Anolis sagrei: one gene and its partner. The protein of the gene in region 2 purifies or fractionates together with the protein of the main gene of each other region. This does not show direct contact. Links are inferred from orthologs where the notes say so. Each region holds a gene or a part of one and is shown on either strand. Other genes may lie near its edges.

Region 1 (7,821 bases), on a different chromosome or scaffold from region 2:
TGTCCTTGCCCTTTCTTCTAGCTATGCTGGGCATGGTGCTGGTGCACGTTTTGTAGACTCCATCCTTAAAATGGACTGCAGGTCTGTGGCTCTTCTCTTTGGATGTAGCAGTGCTGCCCTTGCGGTGCAAGGCAATCTGGAGGGAACTGGTGCTGTCCTCAGGTTCCTCATGGCAGGATGGTAAGTTGCTTTACCTGTCAGTCTTATTCCCTTCTAAACTGGAATCCCCTATGAGACCTAGAAACTTTGGGCAGTGATTTTCAATATGACCTGCTATACAAAGAGTGAAGTATACCTTGAAAAAATCAAACTTACACAGAATGCCTTCCTCATCTTATGTATGCTAAGGGAGGGAGATCTCATATACCGTTCTCTGCCATTACGTATATGCGTAGGGCAGCGTTTCTCAACCTTTCTAATTCCACAACCTCTTAATACAGTTCAGAAATATATGTATCTGATTGTCTTTGGTTGATGATCAATCTGAAACCCCCTTGCAACCACCACCCCCAAGGGTCCCGACTCCCTAACACTGGTGTAGGGGGATTGGGCATGATGTGGTTCTCCACTTTAGTTTGCACTCCAGTAGATTAATGCTGGAAAATCAGAAAGCATTCCTATTGTCTAGAATGCAAGTGATTTGTCCTTGAACACTGATGCCTCAAATGAGAAGATGGAAATCTCCACCTTTGTGAGTGTATTTGACTTTCTCTCTGGGAGTTTAATTGATTAGTGCTTTCTCTTCTGGCACAATTTGAATGATAATATGATATGATATTGAAAGGTCTATAAGGCTTAGGTACAGGCTATTTCAGGAGCCCCTGGTGGCACAGTGGGTTAAACCGCTGAGTTGCTAAACTTGTTGATCGAAAGGTCACAGGTTTGAATCTGGGGAGCGGTGTGAGCTTCTGCTGTCAGCCCCAGCTTCTGCCAACCTAGCAGTTCAAAAACATGGAAATGTGAGTAGATCAATAGGTACTGCTCCGGTGGGAAGGTAACGGTGCTCCATGCAGTCATGCTGGCCACATGACCTTGGAGGTGTCTACAGACAACACCAGCTCTTCAGCTTAGAGATGAGCACCAACCCCCAGAGTCAGACACAACTGGAACTAATGTCAGGGGAAAACCTTTACCTTTACAGGCTATTTCAAGAACTATCTGTTTATATGAGTCTGCCAGAGTCTTATGATATTCATCAGATGGCTTTCTCTCTGTCTGACCATGCATTAAGGTTTGTCTCATGAACACACAAGAGAGAGTCTTCTTGGAAGCTGCTCATAGTCTTTGGGACTTTCTCCTGTGGGGATCTTGGTTGGTCTCTTCTCTGTCCTATTTCTGCCAAGAGGCAACTTCCTTCTTAATGAAACAGGTCTTTAACTGGTTGTAGTAGTCAGATATGCATAGATGTGCTGTTATGTCAAAATCTGGTTTTTATTTTTAAATTGATAAATAGCATCTTGGATGGATTTGTTGTTCAATGCTATAACCTTTATACCATATAATTCTTTAGCTATTATGTTTTAGCTTGCATTGTAAGCCTCTTTGAATCCCACTGTGGGAGAAAGGCAGGATATCAATAGTATAAACTTGTCTTCCTTTTCCCCTGTCCTTTGTTTTCCAGTCCCCTAGTGCTGGGCAATCTCTGGGATGTGACTGACCGAGACATTGACCGCTTCATGCAGGCTCTTCTGAAGAACTGGCTGAAGGCAGGCTCTGGAGCTCCTCTGCTCCAGTACATCATTCAGTCACGCCAGGCACCCAGACTGAAATACATGATTGGTGCTGCTCCCATAGCTTATGGACTCCCAGTTTTTCTACAGTAGAAAAGACAAGAGCCTGGTGGGAGACATTTGGAAGGATCTGGATAAACTTTTCTTGACTCTGAGTACTTTAATTGCAAATTGCCTTTGGAGACAAAGGATAAAAATGCTTCAGATGCATTTTTGGTGTATAGTAGGAGTATATATTTTGTTGAAGGCCTATATTGTTTTTAGACAAAATGTTTCTACCTGGGCTGCTCTTTCAAGTATTTAAGATTTGCACAATGTACACATTTTTAATTTCAGAGAGTATTATGAATGTTTCTTAAAAGCTATATGAATTTTAATGTTTCAAAACCTAAATAAAGTTTAAAGCAAACAATCTCCCCCCCTCCGTGTGTTTGCACATGAATCATGCACTATTATCATTGGCATTTGATTCTTGGGAAGTTATATCTAATCTTGGATGGCTGTCTATCTAGTTCTAAATTTAAATCTCCGATTTTGTCCTGGCCAATCTACTTTTGCTAACATTTCCAGTCTTGCTATTAAAATCAAGCAAGGTGAGAAAAGAAAGGTTAATGTTTTATAATTGTGTGTGTGATTGTAATTTCATAGTTTTATCATTTTTAGATTATTTATTATTTATATGCGGCACTTCGCTGTGCTTTGTTAGCTGCCCCGAGTCCTATTGGGGAGATGGTGGCGGGTAAAAATAAAATCTATTATTATTATTACAATTATTATTATTAAAAGAATAATGGATTAAAATGGCAATGAAAATAATAAATGATGTGATCTTGTGTCGGGGTAGCCTAGCACAATGTTTCTTGCCTTCATTTTTAACAACAGGTTTTAAACATTACTTTTTTAAATTTCATAACAGCTAGTTATGAAATTTAAACTGCAAAAAACTATTTATTATTGCATGGCCATAGCAATAACGACAAACAATGGGGCTGCAGAGCATTTATAGTAAATGGAATATACATTTTCATTGGTTCCCAAAGACAAATCATTTCATTGGTCTAAGCTAGCTATGCAGTTGTTCATTAGTTGTTTATGATTTTGATTGACATTTTAGCACACGTGGGATCCTAACAATGGCACAACTATAACATAACTATAGTCCATTGTTCTCTGATCATGACTGTATCTTATCTGTTAGTCTGTTGCAAACATGGCTTCAAAGCGACTGGGAAACTTGGGGGTTCTAACTAGCCAACAGCTACCTGGTTTTGTCCGGATATGTTGTTATCCTTGAATAGTAACTTCTTCTTTGGAGCACTGATTTCTCAATCAGCATTTTCTGTGAACATAGGCCTACTGCAGAAATAGGCCAAAATGGTAGTAAATCATGACATATAGGCATTGGGGAAATATCTGAAAATTCCCTTTTTAAAACTACGTCTCCTCCAGTACCAAATGAGAGCCCCCCCCCCCCCCCCCCCCGGGCACACAGAAGACTGGGTGACTTGGAAGGCGCCGAACAGACTGCGCTCTGGCACCACGAGATGCAGAGCCAATCTTAAGAAATGGGGCTACAAGATGGAATCCACGACATGCGAGTGTGGAGATGAGCAAACCACTGACCACCTGCTGCAATGCAACCTGATCCCTGCTACATACACAATGGAGGACCCCAGGTGGTGCAGTGGGTTAAAGCCCTGTGCTGGCAGGACTGAAGACCGACAGGTCGCAGGTTCGAATCCTGGGAGAGGCGGATGAGCTCCCTCTATCAGCTCCAGCTCCTCATGCGGGGACATGAGAGAAGCCTCCCACAAGGATGATAAAAACATCAAAATCATCCAGGCGTCCCCTGGGCAACGTCCTTGCAGATGGCCAATTCTCTCAAACCAGGAGTCACTCCTGACATGACAAAAAAAATATGGAGGACCTCCTTGTGGCAACACCAGAGGCACTCCAAGTGGCCAGATACTGGTCAAAGGACATTTAATCAACTACTAAGTTTGCAAACTTTGTGTTTTGTCTGTTTGTTTGTTTTGTTATAAAAATGTAATGCTCCTGACACGATAAATAAATGTCTATGCCAGAGTTTTTAAGGTTGGCTTTGAGTCCATCTTTAAATCTCTTTTCCTGTCCACTAACATTCCGTTTTCCATTCTTGAGTTTCCCAAGCAAAGAATGCCCCCAGGAAGCAACAGCCAGGTTTTGCAGCTGCAAGGCTGCTCAATGCTAATCAATTTGTTAACTGTAACATTCACACTATCTTTAAACAGACAAGGGTTTTTTCTCCCACCCTGGACATTTCCACAGATGTGTGTGTGTGGGTGTATGCGTGTGTGTGTGTGTGTGTGTATATATATATATATACACACACACACACACACATATATATATACACACACACACACTCCATTTGCTTCATAGCCAACAGAACTTCTGAGGAGGCCGGCCACAGATACAGGCAAAACGTCAGGAGAGAATGCTACTGGAACATAGCAATACAGCCCGGAAAACTCACAGCAACTCACAGTCATGGTGGCTATGAAAGCCATCAACAACAGAATACTAACTTGGGCCAGCAATGAAATGGACTGAAGGTATCCATATATAATACAGTTCGACACCGCTTTAACTGCCACGGTTCTAGGCTATGGAAGCCTGGGATTTGGTGAGGCGCCAGCACTTTGTCCAAGGAGGCTAAAGACCTTGTCAAACTACAACTCGCAGGATTCCATGGCAATTCAAAGTGCCAAAGCACATGAATAAGTAATTGTGCTTTGAATGCAATATTCCTGCTTCTTGGCAGGGGGTTGGACTGGATGGCCCATGAGGTCTCTTCCAACACTATGATTCTATGATTCTATTATGCAGCATCCCACCGTTTCCCTTCTATCTCTCTAGGAGGCGCCTCGCTCGCAGGCCGGAAGTGAGGTCATTGTGGCCAACCTTGCCGTTTGCTGGCAACAGGGCGTGGATTGGGCTAACGTCATAGACGCAGTGACCATAGACTCGACTGCTAGCGCGTCTTGAGGAGGAACGGCTCCTTCTTTCCTTCCTTCCTTCCTTCCAAGATGGCGCAGCAGGTGAACATTTCGGAGCTGTCCCTGCCGCAGCTGGAAGTGCTGAAGAACCAGTTAGACCAGGTGAGGGAGAGGAAAGCGGGGGAAACAGGGGCCTGGTCTCCCTCTGGACTGCCCCCCCTAGAGTTCGTCTGCACTGTGGAATGAAAACTGTTCTATACCACATTAATTGCCAGGTCTCACTTCTATGGAAGAGTGGGAGTTGTCGTTTTACCCGGCCTGCCAAAGAGGGTGGTGCTTCACTGAACTGCAATTGTTAGGATTTCATAGCATTGAGCAACGAAGCAGCTAAAGTGGTGTCAAAGTGCCTTAATTTTGCAGTGTAGATGCCCCGCTAGGATCAGGATGCGGGGTAGAGGGCAGGCCCAGTGTGACACCCTCAAGATCTCCAGGGGAAGGTTACAATCTCAAGGATTGATATCTTTCAGAGCGTAGATAGAATCATAGAATCAAAGAGTTGGAAGAGACCTCATGGGCCATCCAGTCCAACTCCCTGCCAAGAAGCAGGAATATTGCATTCAAAGCACCCCTGACAGATTATTATTATTATTATTATTATTATTATTAAACTTTATTTATACTCCGCTAGCATCTCCCGAAGGACTCGATGCGGCTTACAAAGGCCAAGGCCTCAACCCAACAACAATAGACAATAACAGTACGATACAAAGCAAATTAAAAACATAAGCAATAAGAAAACATTACACTATTACGCAATAAAACCAGGGCCGGGCCAATGAAGGGTACATATTAAAAAGTGCTGGGTGTGAGAGGTGGTGTGTTGGAATTCTGGGCAAGTGCAAGTGCAGAGAGTCTTAAACTCTACTGGGACATAGAGCTGGGGGTTATCCTATTCTGGAAAGGCACATCAGAATAGCCAGGTCTTCATGTTCTTCCTAAAGACTGCCAACATGGGTGCTAGTCTAATGTCTTTGGGGAGGGTGTTCCAAAGTCGGGGGGGGGGGCAACCACAGAGAAGGCCCTGTCCCTCGTCCCCACCAAACACGCCTGTGACGCAGGTGAGATCGTAAGCAGGGCCTCTCCGGATGAACGAAGGGAGTGCGTGGGTTCATAAATGGAGATGCGGTCATGCAGGTAAGCAGGTCCCAAGCCATTTAGGGCTTTGTAGGTAAGCACTTGCACCTTGAATTGGGTTCGGTAGATGGCCATTTAGCCTCTGTTTAAAAGCCTCCAAAGAGGCTTCCTGGCCTCCACCACACTCCAGAGCAGAGCGTTCCACTGCTGAACGGCTCTCACAGTCAGGAAGTTCTTCCTCATGTTCAGATAGAATCTCCTTTCTTGTAGTTTGAAGCCATTGTTCCGTGTCCTAATCTCCATTGAAGCAGAAAACAAGCTTGCTCCCTACTCCCTGTGGCTTCCTCTCACATATTTATACATAGCTATCATATCTCCTTTCAGCCTTCTCTTCAGGCTAAGCATGCCCAGTTCTTTAAGCTGCTCCTCATAGGGCTTGTTCTCCAGACCCTTGATAATTTTAGTCGCCCTCCTCTAGACATATTCCAGCTTGTGCTATTCGTTTAAATGGCACCTAGATGATCTTTTGGTTTGAATGTTGGAACTGATAACAACAACAACAACAATAATAATAATAATAATAAATAAACTTTATTTATACCCCGTCACCATCTCCCCAAAGGGAACTCGGGGTGGCTAACATGAAGCCAAGCCCAAAAATAATACAGCAGAGTTCAAAACAAAGCAACAGAAAAATTACATCACAGCAAAATACATAAAATAACAGAATAAAATAAACTGTGCAAAATAACATAATATAAATCAAACACAAAGGACAGGCCAAATGCGTGAGCTAAAATGTTAAAACCCTGGAAGAGATAGGAGTAAAAAAGTGTATTGAAAAGTGTATTTGTGATGGAGGAGCCCAAGAAGGGGAGCAGTAGGGTTTGGCCTTTATTAACTGATGGGTATTAGAGTCCAACAACATCTGGAGGACCACGGCTTCCTCATTCCTGGCTTAGAGCTGGGAAGTTCTCTATCATAAGAAAAAGGATCCCGTTCTTCGATAGAAATGGTCATACTTAGTTTGAATATTACCTTCTATTTGTGTAAAAGGAGCAGACGATATATGTAAGTCTGCTCCAAGTTTTTGCTGTGAAATGTGTTTGCATGTGCATGAGAGAGAAAAAAACAGAATACCTAACCAGGGGGATAAGCATACTGAATCACCACATGTCTATTAGGATTCTATACACTTTCTTTCCATTCAGTCTTTCCCTTCTGCCAAATGACTGTGCTGTCAATGTGACTTGTCATACAAATCTGCCATGGCTTTTGGATGGAAGTAAATGGTATTGTAATGAAGTAGTCGTTTCAATCCTGTTCTTCTAGACTGGGGTGATGAATGTGTGGCTTTCCATTGGTCCTAGCCAGGGTAACCAACAATGTCTGTTGTTTAGAAATACTACTCAGCAACATTTGGAAGAACCACAATTTTCCCATCTCTGGTCTAGATGTTCACGGTGTAGTGCTCCTGGTGGCAAATATTTCAGAATACCTACTTCACATGCAGCTGGTTGCTGGAGGTGATGGGTCTTTAACTTCTGAATTTTGTATGACTTTTCCTAGGAAGTGGAATTCCTTTCTTCATCCATTGCACAACTTAAAGTGGTACAGACAAAATATGTGGAAGCAAAGGACTGCCTGACTGTCTTGAATAAAAGCAACGAAGGCAAGTACTGTGTATTGTTCAAATATATATGCTATTCTCCTCAGAGTGAGCGATGAAAATAAAGCCAAAAAGAACCAATGAATTCAATAGGCACACTTTTTAGTAAGTAGATGCAATGGAAAAACCGACGTGACTTTTTAAAAGTGATTGAGGACAGATGTAAATTCTAACCATCTTTCTAATCAGCTAAGGAGAATGCTACTGGAACATGGCCATACAGCCCGAAAAGCTCACAGCAACCTAACCAAAAATGTGTCATTTAACAATCAGTAATATGTCAAGACCCTACAATTTAAAAAATTGAAGG
Region 2 (7,259 bases):
TTCTTATGAGAAAGAAGGGGTCTTTCTAAAGAGGTGGGGGGGGGGGTCTAATAAGGAGGAGAAGGCCTTTCCAAGAGGGAAGGGGGCTTTTCTAAGAGGGAAGGGGGGCTCCTATGAGAAAAAATGGGCCTTTCTAAGAGGAGGGGGGTGTTAACTGAGGGAGGGGGCTTTCACAAGAGGGAGGGGGCCCAATAAGAAGGAGAAGGCCTTTCCAAGTGGGAGGGGGTCCTATCTAAAGAGGGGATGGTCTAATAAGGAGAAGGCCTTTCCAAGAGGGAGGGGGCTTTTCTATGAGGGAAGGAAGGGCCTAAATAAGAGGGAGGGGACTTTTCCAAGAGAGGGGGGCTCCTACGAGAAAGAATTGGCCTTTCTAAGAGGACAAGGGGGGGAGGTTATATGAGGGAGGGGTCCTTTCACAAGAGGGAGGGGTCCAATAAGAAGGAGAAGTCCTTTTCAAGAGGGAGGGGGTTCCTATGAGAAAGAAGGGGCCTTTCTAAGAGGACGGGGGGGGGGTAAATGAGAGAGGGGCTTTCACAAGAGGGAGGGGGGTCTTTTCTAAAGAGGGAAGGGTCAAATAAGAAGGAGAAGGGTCTTTTCTAAGAGGATTGGGGCGGGGGTTAAATGAGGGAGGGGGCCCAAAAAGAGAAGGCCTTTCCAAATGGGAGGGGGTCTTTCCTAAAGAGGGAAGGGTCTATCTAAATAAGAGGGAGGGGGCCTTTCCAAGTCGGAGGGGATCCTTTTTAAAGAGGGAGGGGTCTCATAAGGAGGGGAAGGATGGGGGGGTCCTATGAGAAAGAAGAGAACAGGGGAGGGGGGTTATATGAGGGAGAGGGCCTTTCCAAAAGGGAGGGGGTCCTTTCTATGAGGGAAGGAAGGGCCTAAATAAGAGGGAGGGGGTCTTTCCAAGAGAGTGGGGGTCTCCTATAAGAAAGAAGGAGCCTGCCTAAGAGGAGGGGGGTTATATGAGGGAGGGGGCTTTCACAAGAGGGGGGGGCAATAAGAAGGAGAAGGCCTTTCCAAGAGGGTGGGGGTCCTTTCTAAAGAGGGAAAGGTCTCATAAGGAGGAGAAGGCCTTTCCAAGAGGGGGGGGGCTTTTCTAAGAGGGAAGAGCCTAAATAAGGGGGGGGGGTAGGCTCCTATGAGAAAGAAGGGGCCTTTCTAAGAGGATGGGAGGGGGAGGGGGGAGGAAATCGGTTGAATGAGGGAGGGGAATCTAAATAAGGGGGAGGGCCTTTCCAAGAGGGAGGGGGTCCTTTCCTTTCTAAAGAGGGAGGGGGCTCTTCTGAGAAAGGGGCCTTTCTAAGAGGATGGGGAGGGGGGGAATGGGTTAAATGAGGGAGGGGGCCCAATAAGAAAGTGAAGGCCTTTCCAAGAAGAGGGGGGGGGGCTTTTCTAAGAGGGAAGGACCTAAATAAGAGGGAGGGTGGGTTAAATGAGGGAGGGGGGGTCTAAATAAGAGGGAAGGGTTTCATAAGGAGGAGAAGGCCTTTCCAAGAAGAAGGGGGGGCTTTCCTAAGAGGGAAGGGGCTAAATAAGAGGGAGGGGGGCTCCTATGAGAAAGAAGGGGCCTTTCTAAGAGGGGGGGTGGGTTAAATGAGGGAGGGGGGTCTAAATAAGGGGGAGGGGGCCTCCTAAGGAGGAGAAGGCCTTTCCAAGAAGGGGGGGGTCCTTTCTAAAGAGGGAAGGGTCTCATAAGGAGGAGAAGGCCTTTCCCAGAGGGAAGGGGGGCTTTTTTATGAGGGAAGGGCCTAAATAAGAGGGAGGGGGTCTTTCTAAGAGGAGTGGGGGAAATGGGTTAAATGAGGGAGGGGGCCCAATAAGAAGGTGAAGGCCTTTCCAAGAAGAGGGGGGGGTCCTTTTCTAAAGAGGGAAGGGGCTAAATAAGAGGGAGGGGGGCTCCTAGGAGAAAGAAGGGGCCTTTCTAAGAGGGGGGGGGGGTTGGGTTAAATGAGGGAGGGGGGTCTAAATAAGGGGGAGGGGGCCTTTCCAAGAGGGAGGGGGGCTTTTCTAAGAGGGAAGGGGCTAAATAAGAGGGAGGGGGGCTCCTATGTGAAAGAAGGGGCCTTTCTAAGAGGATGGGGGGGAATGGGTTAAAAGAGGGAGGGGGCCCAATAAGAAGGTGAAGGCCTTTCTAAGAGGGAGGGGGTCTTTCCAAGAGGGAGGGGGCCTTTTCTAAAGAGGGAAGGGTCTCCTAAGGAGGAGAAGGCCTTTCCAAGAAGGGGGGCTTTTCTAAGAGGGAAGGGTCTAAATAAGAGGGAGGGGGGCTCCTATGAGAAAGAAGGGGCCTTTCTAAGAGGAGGGGGGAGGGGGAAATGGGTGAAATGAGGGAGGGGGGTCTAAATAAGGGGGAGGGCCTTTCCAAGAGGGAGGGGGGTCCTTTCAAAAGAGGGAGGGGGCCTCCTAAGGAGGAGAAGGCCTTTCCAAGAGGGGGGGTCCTTTTCTAAAGAGGGAAGGGGCTGAATAAGAGGGGGGGGGGCTCCTATGAGAAAGAAGGGGCCTTTCTAGGAGGAGGGGGGAGGGGGAGATGGTTGAAATGAGGGAGGGGGGCCTAAATAAGGGGGAGGGGGCCTTTCCAAGTGGGGGGGGGGTGGGGGGAGCAACCGGGGTCCTTTCCCTCGAGGCGGCCTCTTCCTCTTGCTCACCTCCTTGCTGGCGCCGTCCTTTGCGGGCCTTGCTGGCGACCCTGTCGGGCCTGGTCCTCCTTCCTCTCCTCGGCCTTGCCTTCCTGCCTTCCTTCTCCCTTGGAAGAGGCCTGCCTGCCTGGAGGGGCGCGACGAAGGCGAGGCGGCGGCGAAGAAGGCCGCTCCGTGCCGTCCCCTCAGCCCTGAAGGAAGGAAGGAGGCAGGCTTGGCTGCGCCGTCGGGGGTGGGGGAGAGGGGGGAGAGGGGCCTGCTCCTCCTTTCAGCTGCCTGGCGCGGCCATCCGGGCTGGCTTCCCTTCTTCCTTCGCTTCCTCTGCTTCCCTCTCTTCCTTCCTTCCTTCCTGGCTCCTCTCAGGGTCTCTCTCTTCTCTCTCTTTCTCCTCCTCCTCCCTCCCTCCTCCCTTCTCGGCCCCTGCGGCCCAGTCCGGGAAACCCCGCGCGCCGCCCCGCCCGCCTTGCCTGGCTTGGCTTCCCTTTGGCTTTGCTTTGGCTTTGGGGCCTAGTCCGCCTGACTGGATTTGGCCTCCCTCTCTCTCCCTCTCTGACAGGAAAAGGCCTCAGCGAGCGGGCGGAGAGGGGTGGCCCCCTCTCTCTCTCTCTCTCTCTCTCTCTGGGAAGGAAGAGAAGGAGAAGGGATACAAAGGGAGGAAGGAAGGAAGGAAGAGACTCCCTTTTGACAGATGAGGAAGAGAGGGGAGGGAAGGAAGAAAAGGAAGAGAAGAAAGGGAAAAGGCGGAAGAAAAGGAACAAGTAGGAAGAAACTGAAAGGAAAGGAAGGAAGGAAAGAAAGGGAAAAAGCGGAAGAAGAGGAACGAGTAGGAAGAAACTGAAAGGAAGAAAAGGAACGAGTAGGAAGAGAAGGAAGAAAAGGAAAGGAACGAGTAGGAAGAAACTGAAAGGAAGAAAAGGAACGAGTAGGAAGAGAAGGAAGAAAAGGAAAGGAACGAGTAGGAAGAAACTGAAAGGAAAAGAATGAGTAGGAAGAAACTGAAAGGAAGAAAAGGAAGAAACTGAAAGGAAAAGAATGAGTAGGAAGAAACTGAAAGGAAGAAAACGAAGAAAAGAAAGCTTTCCTTTGGCTTTGGGGCCTAGTCCGCCTGACTGGATTTGGCCTCCCTCTCTCTCTCTCTCTGGGAAGGAGGAGAAGGAGAAGGGATACAAAGGGAGGAAGGAAAGAAGGGACTCCCTTTTGACAATACGAGGGAAGGGAAGAATGGAGGAAAAAGAAGGGAAGGAACAAGTAGGAAGAAAGTGAAAGGAAAGGAAGAAAAAGAAGAGAAGGAGGAAAAGAAAGGGAACAGAAGGAAGGAAAGGAATGAGTAGGAAGAAGAAAGGAAGGAAGAAAAGAAAAGGAAGAGAAGGAAGGGAAGAAACAAGTAGGAGGAAACTGAAAGGAAGGAAGAGAAGGAAGAAAAGAAAGGGAACAGAAGGAAGGAAAGGAATGAGTAGGAAGAAAGTGAAAGGAAAGGAAGGAAGAGAAGGAAGAAAAGAAAAGGAACAGAAGGAAGGAAAGGAATGAGTAGGAAGAAAGGGAAAGGAAGAGAAGGAAGGAAGAAAAGAAAAGGAAGGGAAGGAACAAGTAGGAGGAAACTGAAAGGAAGGAAAGAAAGGAAGGAAGAGAAAGAAGGAAAGGAAGGAAGGAAAGGAAAAGGCCTCCGCAGGCAGGCAACAAGGGGTGGCCCTCTCTCTCTCTGGGAAGGAGGAAAAGAGGGGATACAAAGGGAGGAAGGAAGGAAAGAAGAGACTCCCTTTTGACATATGAGGAACAGAGGGGAGGGAGGGAAGAAAAAGAAGAGAAGAAAGGGAAAAGGCGGAAGAAAAGGAACAAGTAGGAAGAAACTGAAAGGAAGAGAAGGAAGGAAAGAAAGGGAAAAAGCAGAAGAAGAGGAACAAGTAGGAAGAAACTGAAAGGAAGAGAAGGAAGAAAAGGAAAGGAATGAGTAGGAAGAAACTGAAAGGAAGAAAACGAAGAAAAGAAAGCTTTCCCTTGGCTTTGGGGCCTAGTCCGCCTGACTGGATTTGGCCTCTCTCTCTCTCTCTCTCTCTCTCTCTCTCTCGGAAGGAGGAGAAGGAGAAGGGATACAAAGGAAGGAAGGGACTCCCTTTTGACACATGAGGAAGAGAGGGAAGGGAGAAAAGGAAGAGGAGAAAGGAAAGGAAGGGGAAAGGCGGAAGGAAAGGGACAAGTAGGAAGAAACTCAAAGGAAAGGAAGGAAGAAAAGAAAGGGAAGAGAAGGAAGGAAAGAAAGGGAAAAAGCGGAAGAAGAGGAACAAGTAGGAAGAAACTGAAAGGAAGAAAAAGAACGAGTAGGAAGAGAAAGGAAGAGAAAGAAGAGAAGGAAAGGAACGAGGAGGAAGAAACGGAAAGGAAGAGAAGGAAGAAATGGAAGAGAAGGACAGGAAAGAAACAAGTAGGAAGAAACTGAAAGGAAGAAAGGGAACGAGTAGGAAGGAAAGAAAAAATAAGTAGGAAGAAACGGGAAGGAAGAGAAGGAAGGAAAGAAAGGGAAGAGAAGGAAAGGGAAGAAACAAGTAGGAAGAAACTGAAAGGAAGAAAAGAAAGGGAAGAGAAGGAAGAAAAGAAAGGGAAAGGAAAGGAAGGAAAGGAATGAGTAGGAAGAAACTGAAAGGAAGAAAAGAAAGGGAAGAGAAGGAAAGAAACAAGTAGGAAGAAACTGAAAGGAAGAGAAAGAAGAAAGGGAAAAGAAGGAAAGGAAAGAAACAAGTAGGAAGAAACTGAAAGGAAGAAAGGGAAGAGAAGGAAGGAAAGGAAAAATAAGTAGGAAGAAACTGAAAGGAAGAAAAGGAACGAGTAGGAAGAAACTGAAAGGAAAAAAGGGAAGAGAAGGAAGGAAAGGGGAAAGAAATAAGTAGGAAGAAACTGAAAGGAAGAGAAGAAAGGGAAGAGAAGGAACAAGTAGGAAAAAATGAAGGGAAGGAAGAAGAGAAAGAAGGAAAGAAAGAAAAGGAACAAGTAGGAAGGAAGTGAAAGGAAAGGAAGAACAAGAGAAGGAGGGAAAATGGAAGAGAAGGAAGGGAGAAGTGAAGAAAGGGAAGGGATGGGGGGAAGGAATGAGTGGGAAGGAAGTGAGGAAGAAAAGAAACAGAGGAAGGAAGGAAGGGAAGGAACAAGTATAGGAAGAGAAGGAAGAAAAAGTGAAGGGAGGAAGGAAAGAAACAAAAGGATTGAGTGGGAAGAAGAGGAAGAGGGGAAGAGAAGGGGAAAAAGGAAGAAAGGGAACGAAGAAAATGAATGAAAGGGAATTGAAGGAAGGAAGAGAATGAAGGGAAAGATGGAAGAAAAGGAAGGAAGAGCACCAGCATGGAGCACCAACCTAGAGGAATTGCAAAAGGATCATCTCAACCAAAAACAAATCCATTCCTTAAAACACTTCTGTCCACACTGGCCGTTTTCACGCAGCTTCGCACCAAATGTCGAAGAGTATGGTTGAAAGGCATCACATTGCAGCGAGGTGCATAGATTATAGATAGAACATAGATTCCTTGGAAGAGTTGTGCAATGAGTGCATGCCAACCAGCATCAGAGGAGGAGGAGGAGAAGCACAGAATCGCATTGGCCCTTTTAGCTGCCGCATCCCACTGCCGGCACGTGCTCAGGGTGTGATCTTGCGGATCTTCGTGCCCGTCTTCACCCTGCGCTTCCTCGTCATGGATTGCCGAACCAAAGTTGCTTCACTCTGTGAGCAAACCGCCCGCCTTGCGGATCCCAAGCCTTCCTCTTTCCCCTCCGAATGGCTCCCTTCCAGGAAAGACGGTGTTTAGTTCACTGTCTTAGGTGGTAATCTTATTTGCAGATAAGCCTACTTTACCATCTAGCCGTGCGGTAAACCAAGCAGATTAAAAATCCCTGAACCTGGCCACTCCCTCCGTTCAAAACAATTCTTAGTAAAATATTCATATAACACCCCCCCCCCCATATATACATATATATTTATTGTTGCCATTGCAGTAACTTGTCTTTTTAGTAATTTTTACCTATTTATCCATCTATGGTCTCTCTATCTGAGGAGGTTGGACTGGATGGCCCTAGGGGTCTCTTCCAATTCTGGGATTCTATCATGTTGTCTAGCTAGCTTGCTGTCTAAAGAGGTTGAACTGGATGGCCCTTGAGGTCTCTTCCAATTCCAGGATTCTATCATCATCTCTATTTATTTATCTATGGTCTATCTATCTGAACGGGGTTGGACTGGATGGCCCTTGGGGTCTCTTCCAATTCTGGGATTCTATCTATCTATGAATTATCTATCTATTAGGGCTGGGCGGTTTCGTTTCGTTAATTCGTAATTCGTTAATAATTCGTTAATTTTTTCAATTACAAAACGACAACGAACCATTCTGGAGCAATTATTTAAAAAAACGAATTTTCAAAACGTTTTGTAAATGCTTCGTATTTTGATATTGTATTCGTTTCGTTATTGTTTTGAGGTCGTTTCGTTATTATTTCCGCATGTCTGGGCCAGTTTTATGGTTTAATTAGTGAAAAAAAATTATAATATCACACCAACAGTCAACAACAGAGGGAGAGGGAAGCTTCAGAAGGTTTTGGAGGTTTTTTAGCGTATTTCGCGGTCGCATCCGCCATTAACGAATCGATTCG

Evidence for each region. Proteins that work in one complex are often made in the same cells at the same time.
Region 1: the proteins of GNB1 (region 2) and PFDN5 purify together in Homo sapiens (co-immunoprecipitation; 3 studies listed by BioGRID and IntAct, with this or other methods). This does not show direct contact. The link is inferred for Anolis sagrei from reciprocal best matches to the Homo sapiens genes GNB1 and PFDN5.

What each region holds. Positions count from the first base shown.
Region 1 is NC_090022.1:187,059,806-187,067,626, reverse strand, and holds the start of PFDN5 (prefoldin subunit 5), read left to right. Parts: upstream 1-4,752; 5' UTR 4,753-4,798; coding exon 4,799-4,870; intron 4,871-7,411; coding exon 7,412-7,514; intron 7,515-7,821. Other genes in the region: ESPL1 (separin), read left to right, coding at 22-180, 1,622-1,823. UniProt on the Homo sapiens protein: Binds specifically to cytosolic chaperonin (c-CPN) and transfers target proteins to it. Binds to nascent polypeptide chain and promotes folding in an environment in which there are many competing pathways for nonnative proteins.
Region 2 is NC_090033.1:1,576,409-1,583,667, reverse strand, and holds the start of GNB1 (guanine nucleotide-binding protein G(I)/G(S)/G(T) subunit beta-1), read right to left. Parts: upstream 3,033-7,259; 5' UTR 2,643-3,032; intron 1-2,642. UniProt on the Homo sapiens protein: Guanine nucleotide-binding proteins (G proteins) are involved as a modulator or transducer in various transmembrane signaling systems.